2 linked regions of the Drosophila melanogaster genome follow. The protein of the gene in region 1 purifies or fractionates together with the protein of each later gene. This does not show direct contact. Each region holds a gene or a part of one and is shown in the gene's direction. Other genes may lie near its edges.

Region 1 (3,956 bases):
TGGACAGTTTGCGAATCAGGCTGCTGTTCTGGAGCAGCTCGCGACTCAGGTTGAGTGGAATGTCCTCAGAGTCGACAACACCCTTTACAAAACGCAGCCACTTGGGCAGCAGATGCTCAGTCTTGGACTGAATAAGCACCTTGCGGGTGTAAAGAGCCACACCGGTGTTTCCGTCCCGAGACATCTCGAATAAACCAGGCTTTCCTTCGGGGAAGTAGAGCAGTGCATGGATGCTCAAGGGTACGTCAGCATTATAGTGTAAGGTGAAGCGCGGGACATCGAAGCTATTGCTAATGAACCGATAGAAGTCATGGTGCTGCTCCTTGCTGATGCTTTGTGGCTCAAGAAGCCACAGAGGCTTGATCTCATTGGCCTGCTTTCCGTTAAGCAAGATGGGTGAGCCCACAAAGTTGCTGTATTTCTTGATTACCGCCTTGATCCTCTCCTCGTCCGCATATTCACGGCAATCGGTCTTTAAATGAAGCACGATTCGCGTTCCCAACTCAACGTCAGGCACCTCTTCGATCTCGTAGGTTCCACTGCCATCCGTGGACCAACGCAGTCCGGGTGCATTAGGCACAGCCGCCCTCGTGAACACCTCCACCTTATTGGCGACAATGAAGGAAGAGTAAAAGCCCACGCCGAACTGACCAATAATGTTCGAGGATGCCTCCGAGCTGGCTCCCTGCTGGGTCCCCTTCATCTGCTCCAGGAACTTCTTCGAGCCGCTGCGTGCAATGGTGCCCAGGTTGCTGACCAGCTCCTCCTTGGTCATGCCGATGCCCGTGTCCTGGATGATTAGCTGCATCAGTGGCTTGTCGGTGGTGATACGAATCTCCAGAGGCCGGTCCTTTCCAGCCAGATTCTCGCCTCCAGCGCTCAACGAGGTGTACCGAAATTTCTCCAGCGCATCGCTTGCATTCGAAATAAGCTCGCGCACAAAGACCTCGTGGTCGGAGTATAAGGAACGAGCCACAATGTCAAGTAGCTGGCGCGTCTCTGCCTGGAACTCATGCTTGTCCACCACTGATCCTGATGCCTGCTTGGTCTCCGTGGAGTAGCGACGGAGCGAGAGAGCTGCAAGTGAAAAGATGAGTGTTATGTAAACATAAGAATCCCTCCGGGGAGCCGGTTGCTTATATTCAGTGCTTACCACCCGGCGAATGCTGCGATCCAATGGTGATATTGAACGCTGCTGGGGCGGATCGGTGACTCTGCCTCAACACTTGGGCACAGCGACCGAGGCGGCACGCCTGGCCCAGCACTCCCATCGCTCGTACAGACATCTTGTTGTTTTAATGTTTTGCCCAACTTTAATGTTACCCAACTACGAAGTTTGTTCCAGCGCACATGTGTGCACAGTGTAGCCAAATCAATCGATTGTAAGTATTCGATAATAGTAAACTGGTAAAACCCTACTCATAACGGTGTTTTCTTCCAAATTTCTGGGCTGTAATGAATTTTGGACTCAAATGCTTAGTTGGTTTGAATAAGAGTTACTACATGTAATGGAGAGTTCAGTTTCATCACATTATTCAGCTCAAAACTGAAGCAAACTGCCAGCTGACTAGTTCTCTAAAGATTTCGATCAGCAAGAGAGAGAGAGAGAGATAGAGATGTTTCAACTGTGAACAACAAACCGTAAATTCTGAAGGAATTAAGAACAGATTACGTTTCATTGTTTAGCCAATGTAGATTGGATGCTGATTTTTGAGTTATGAAATAACAAATGTCTTCAAAGAAGACAGTAAATAAAAGAAAGTTAAATCAAATCCAATATTGAAAGACATCGATACCTCATATCGATATACGGTCCAATTGCTGACAGCCCTGCTCGTGAATGCAACTCTGCTGTAGCGCGTCAGCGTCGCGTTGTAATTTTTGTTGAGTTTTTTAAATAATTTTAATTAGCATCTGCGTGTCTTACTATTAGAATATCATGTGTTAAGTGTTTCCCATTCACGCCACCACACAAAAAGATCCAATCATGAGCGCCACCACCATCGACAACGTACGGGTGCTGCTTCAGTCGCTGCCTGCTGCCGCCGTAAACAGCGCCACTCAGCCGGGCGATCTACAGACGCCGGGCAAGATTGCGGCCCCAGCGACTCCCCTTCGCGCCAAGAATCCCGCCCAATTACAGATCATGCCGGAGAAGGTCGAGGAGATGCCGCCGTCACCTCCGGAGGAGTTCTGGAGGGACCTGCAGCAGTTTCACGAACGACGCGGGTGAGTTGCCGCGGCTCTCCTGTATTTGGAGACGACCTAACCCACTTTCCCTCTGCCCAAACAGCACTCCATTGACACAGCCCGCCAGGATCAGCGGTAAGCATGTCGACCTGTACAAGCTGTACAACGAGGTAACCGAACGAGGCGGCTTTAATAAGGTGACCATGCGGGACGAGTGGGACGAGGTGTACAGCGCCATGGAGACATTGCGGGAGCGCTGCGTTAACGGAACGGCTAGTATCAAGCACATCTACAGACGCTACCTGGACAAGTACGAACGGTTGAACTTCTTTGGCGAGGATCCAGACAAGATGGAGGCTCTGGAGGCGGCTATTGAGATTGTAGAAATGGGCGGTGGACGCTCGCGATCTCGTTTTTTGGCTGGCGCCGGTGGTGGCCTAGGAAGCATTTTTGGATCAGCACACTCTACGTTGCCGGCGGTGCCAATGGCCTACAACCAGCGCCAGCACTCTGTTAATGTGGAACGACGCCGACAGTACAAGATGTCCACGCAGTTGCACCGACACAGCAGCTACGAGAAGCTGCTGTTGTCTCTGCTTTCTCCGCTGCCCAATGAGCAGGACTTCGCCATAAACGTGTGCACACTTATGGCCAACGAGGCGCGCCACACCCTACAGCTGTCCGAGTGCCCCAAACTGCTTGATGTGCTGCTTGCTCACCTGGGAGTCTACGCTGACTTCACCATGCGCCAGCTGTTCCAGCACAGTTACACCGAGGTTCGACACCATTCGCAGCTCAGTTTCTGGCGCGACCTGCTACACGACAAGCCACAGGTCCTAGAGCTCTACACGGATGAGCAGGCCTGGCTGGACAACGGTCTGATAAGTAAGGAGGACGGTGAGAACTCTGCCGCTCGAAGTGAACTGCTGGCGGCCTGCGACGAGTTGCACTTCCTTAATCTGCGCCGGAGCAACGGGACTGATGAGCGCATGGGCCAGCGAGTGCTTCAGATTGTCCAGCTAGTCCGTACACTCAGCTTTCATCAGGAGAATCATGCACTCTTGGCCTCCAACCGCACGTTGTGGCGATATTTGGTCATGGGAGCAAACGTACGATGGAGTAAGTTTTTTTTATCTGCTTAGAAATTATATTTTTTGGCGCTTTGAATGTACGAAGTATCAAGGTGCTATCATAAATACACTGCAAGGAAATTGACTATTGCGTAGCATAGCAATCCCGAAAGAATCAATTTAAAATAAAATAACTGAAACACGTTTCGCTCGTTCTAGGCAACATTCACATCCAGGCCCTCGAGACCGCTGGCAACCTGGCTCAACAATTTGAGCTGCTAGACCCCACCACTGACGAGCTATCGCGGAATCTTTTAGCTACTCTCTGCGAGGGTATTGACTCTAACGACCGCGCGGTGATCATGAGCTGTCTGGAGATACTCTATAAGTTGTGCGGACGAGAAGGCAATTCGCAGCACATCAATCGTTGCCTTGGCCTGGACTTTTACCAGCGAGCCATGTTGCTCCTCTCGCTTACCGACGTCATGATGATTATCTTTACGCTGGAGGCAGTTTACGCACTAAGTGCTCTTGGCGCTCGGCCATGTTCGATGCTGATGCAAGTACGTGGCCTAATAGACCAGCTGGTGACCCTTATCACAGTGGAGGCTCAGTCATATGGCACAGGCGGTTGCATATTAATGCGTGTCGTAGAGGTTTTCCCCGGAAACATGGCTGCCTCGCTGGCTCAGAACA
Region 2 (3,600 bases), 4.2 Mb from region 1:
CTTGCAGGAGGAACACAGGAAATATGTGCTTTGACGACAGGCAGGCGGACTTTTTTGGCAGGAAAGCATCTACTGAGGAGCGCAACAGCTTATAGGGCTTTCGAAGTCCACTTGGATAGTTCTCAACGATGGCCATGCTGTCAAGCACTTGACGAGGCAGGAAACTGTGAGATGCAGGCACTTGAACAAGGTTGCTAAAGTTTTTGGCAACAATCGCTTGCAGCTCGAACTCGCTGCCCTTTGTCTCCAGGTGAATACACTTTAGGTGGACGTGGCGTAGGTGAGCGAATATCAGGTAATAGTGGGCATAAGTCGCAGTGCCCACCAACTCTGCGTTCACCTCGATGCGGTAGGTATGTCCACGATGCATGAGTCGAGGTGTATTGAAATAGTTGCTCAGGATGACCTCTGTCAGTTCGGCGGGAAGTTCATGGGGATCTGCGACTAAGTACACATGTGCTTTGGTTGCTATTCCAGGTATTGTCTGCTCATCGGCAAAATGCTCTACCTGCACCCAGCAGTTGGAGCGGATTTGAAAGCGATCCAATATGTTGCCGTAGAAGTTCTCCTGAAATTTTACACGATGTAGAATTATAGAAAATATTCCATTTATTTAGAACTAGATACCCACCTGAACGTACAGACAATTGGGTTGGCACTGTGCAGCCGGCAAGATCTGGGCCACAATCGTATGCGGCGCCTCCTGGAGCATTTGCTTGATAACCGTTTGGGTCATATTTCCTTCGTCTGAAGCTAGCGGCTTACCGATTCTTACCCTCCTGCCGCGGATAACCAAGTTGACAAAGTTGACGTCCGGCGATTCCGCATAGTTTTCGTACACCTCCTGACTGGCGAACACCAGGTGCTCCGACTTAATCTGCTCGTTCTTGATCAGCAGATCGTAGAGGCGGTTCGGAATGGGGGTCAGCAGAAACTTGCCCTTGTAATATTTGGCGTAACGCCAGTATACGGCGTATGTCAGATATCCGGGGTAGAGGAACCAGGGCCACTTGGGCGCCAGCAGCTGTATGGCCGAATTGTAGCCCTCGACTAGCTCCTGTACTCTCCCAGAGAAGCTAAATCTCGGCTGTCCTGGATCTTGTTGATCGAACGACACCGAATTCCGCTTGCCGACGACTTTTTTCTGCGGGAATTGATCACGATATTAGCTAATATGGCTTAAATGTTACATATGGACCTACCGCATCATCATTTTCATTCATTTTTTACAATAAATATGGACTAAACACAACAGAAAGCACGAGTACAAGGGTTAATTTCGAGGAGGCGGTGTCAAAGTTCAAGGAGTTGGGGGATAGGCGCCAGACAAATACACTGAAATATGCAATGGCAAGTTAATTCTGTTAATGCACAGCAAATTATTACCCTCTGCTATAAAAATTAGCTTGTTTATTTGGCCAGTTACTTTGTATTTTACCTTTTTCACAATTACTCTCCTCTTCATTACGAATGTTTTGATTCTGGTAAGATATTTGCTCAAAAAATACTAAAAGTATTCAGTCAGCTGTCCACAGTAAGACCTTTATAAGCACATCTTCAAATAATTTCTTTGACCTGCATAAAAGTTAAATATTAATTTTGTAGTAAAATGAAAGAATGAAATATGTCATTATATTTTAAGTAATTCCAAAAATTGGCAAAAAGATATAATTTATAATGTATTAATACAATTTATTTTTAGAATCCGTCTTCGCTAGTGGCTACTGTATATTTTGACTGTACTTGGTGCATTTTAGTATATTTCATTCTCCACTTGGCCGTTTTCAACCGATGCCAACCTGGTCACACTTTTCCACGCATAACAAAATAGTACACAAGTTCCATATATTTCAATTTTCCGCGAAAATGAGCCTGGAAGTGAGCAATATAAACGGGGGAAACGGTACTCAATTGTCCCACGACAAGCGTGAGCTGCTGTGCCTGCTGAAACTCATCAAAAAGTACCAGCTGAAGAGCACTGAGGAGCTGCTCTGCCAAGAGGCGAATGTGAGCAGTGTGGAATTGTCGGAAATCAGCGAAAGTGATGTTCAGCAGGTGCTGGGCGCAGTTTTGGGAGCTGGCGATGCCAACCGGGAGCGGAAACATGTCCAATCTCCGGCGCAGGGTCATAAACAGTCCGCGGTGACGGAGGCCAATGCTGCAGAGGAACTGGCCAAGTTCATCGACGACGACAGCTTTGATGCTCAGCACTATGAGCAGGCATACAAGGAGCTGCGCACTTTCGTTGAGGACTCCCTGGACATATACAAGCATGAGCTGTCCATGGTTCTGTACCCAATTCTGGTGCAGATCTACTTCAAGATCCTCGCCAGTGGACTAAGGGAGAAGGCCAAAGAATTCATTGAGAAGTACAAATGCGATCTCGACGGCTACTACATAGAGGGTCTTTTCAACCTTCTTTTGCTGTCTAAGCCCGAGGAGCTGCTGGAGAATGACCTCGTAGTAGCCATGGAGCAGGATAAGTTTGTCATTCGCATGTCCAGGGACTCGCACTCTCTGTTCAAGCGACACATTCAGGATCGCCGGCAGGAAGTGGTGGCAGATATTGTTTCCAAGTACTTGCATTTCGACACATACGAGGGCATGGCGCGCAACAAGCTGCAGTGCGTCGCCACCGCGGGCTCGCACCTCGGAGAGGCCAAGCGACAGGACAACAAAATGCGGGTGTACTACGGACTGCTCAAGGAGGTGGACTTTCAGACTCTGACCACTCCAGCGCCGGCACCAGAGGAGGAGGACGATGATCCGGATGCCCCGGATCGTCCGAAAAAGAAAAAGCCAAAAAAGGATCCCCTGCTGTCGAAAAAGTCCAAGTCGGATCCGAATGCTCCATCCATCGACAGAATTCCCCTGCCGGAACTGAAGGATTCGGACAAGTTGCTAAAGCTTAAGGCTCTCAGGGAAGCCAGCAAGCGTTTAGCCCTCAGCAAGGATCAACTGCCCTCTGCCGTCTTCTACACGGTGCTTAATTCCCATCAGGGCGTAACCTGTGCCGAGATTTCAGACGATTCCACGATGTTGGCCTGTGGATTTGGCGATTCTAGCGTGAGGATTTGGTCATTGACGCCCGCGAAGCTGCGTACGCTGAAGGATGCAGATTCCCTTCGCGAACTGGACAAGGAATCGGCGGATATCAATGTGCGTATGCTGGATGACCGAAGTGGTGAGGTAACCAGGAGCTTAATGGGTCACACCGGACCCGTATACCGCTGTGCCTTTGCCCCCGAGATGAACCTGTTGCTCTCATGTTCCGAGGACAGCACCATAAGGCTGTGGTCTCTGCTCACCTGGTCCTGCGTAGTCACCTACCGCGGGCACGTTTACCCGGTGTGGGATGTTCGCTTTGCGCCGCATGGCTACTATTTTGTTTCTTGTTCGTACGACAAAACTGCTCGTCTGTGGGCCACGGATTCCAATCAAGCGTTGCGCGTATTCGTGGGTCACTTGTCGGACGTGGATTGTGTACAATTTCATCCCAATTCCAATTATGTGGCCACCGGTTCTAGCGATCGCACGGTACGCCTGTGGGACAACATGACCGGTCAGTCGGTACGCCTGATGACGGGCCACAAGGGATCG

The links. The genes of interacting proteins can lie anywhere in the genome.
Region 2: the proteins of Bap170 (region 1) and Taf5 purify together in Drosophila melanogaster (affinity purification with western blotting; one study listed by BioGRID). This does not show direct contact.

The regions. Positions count from the first base shown.
Region 1 is NT_033778.4:6,634,702-6,638,657, forward strand, and holds the start of Bap170 (brahma associated protein 170kD), read left to right. Parts: upstream 1-1,810; 5' UTR 1,811-1,987; coding exon 1,988-2,229; intron 2,230-2,293; coding exon 2,294-3,309; intron 3,310-3,479; coding exon 3,480-3,956. Other genes in the region: Trap1, read right to left, coding at 1-1,077, 1,154-1,286.
Region 2 is NT_033778.4:10,877,872-10,881,471, reverse strand, and holds the start of Taf5 (TBP-associated factor 5), read left to right. Parts: upstream 1-1,798; 5' UTR 1,799-1,866; coding exon 1,867-3,600. Other genes in the region: Pex6 (peroxin 6), read right to left, coding at 1-568, 632-1,144, 1,439-1,465. UniProt on the Drosophila melanogaster protein: TFIID is a multimeric protein complex that plays a central role in mediating promoter responses to various activators and repressors. May play a role in helping to anchor Taf4 within the TFIID complex.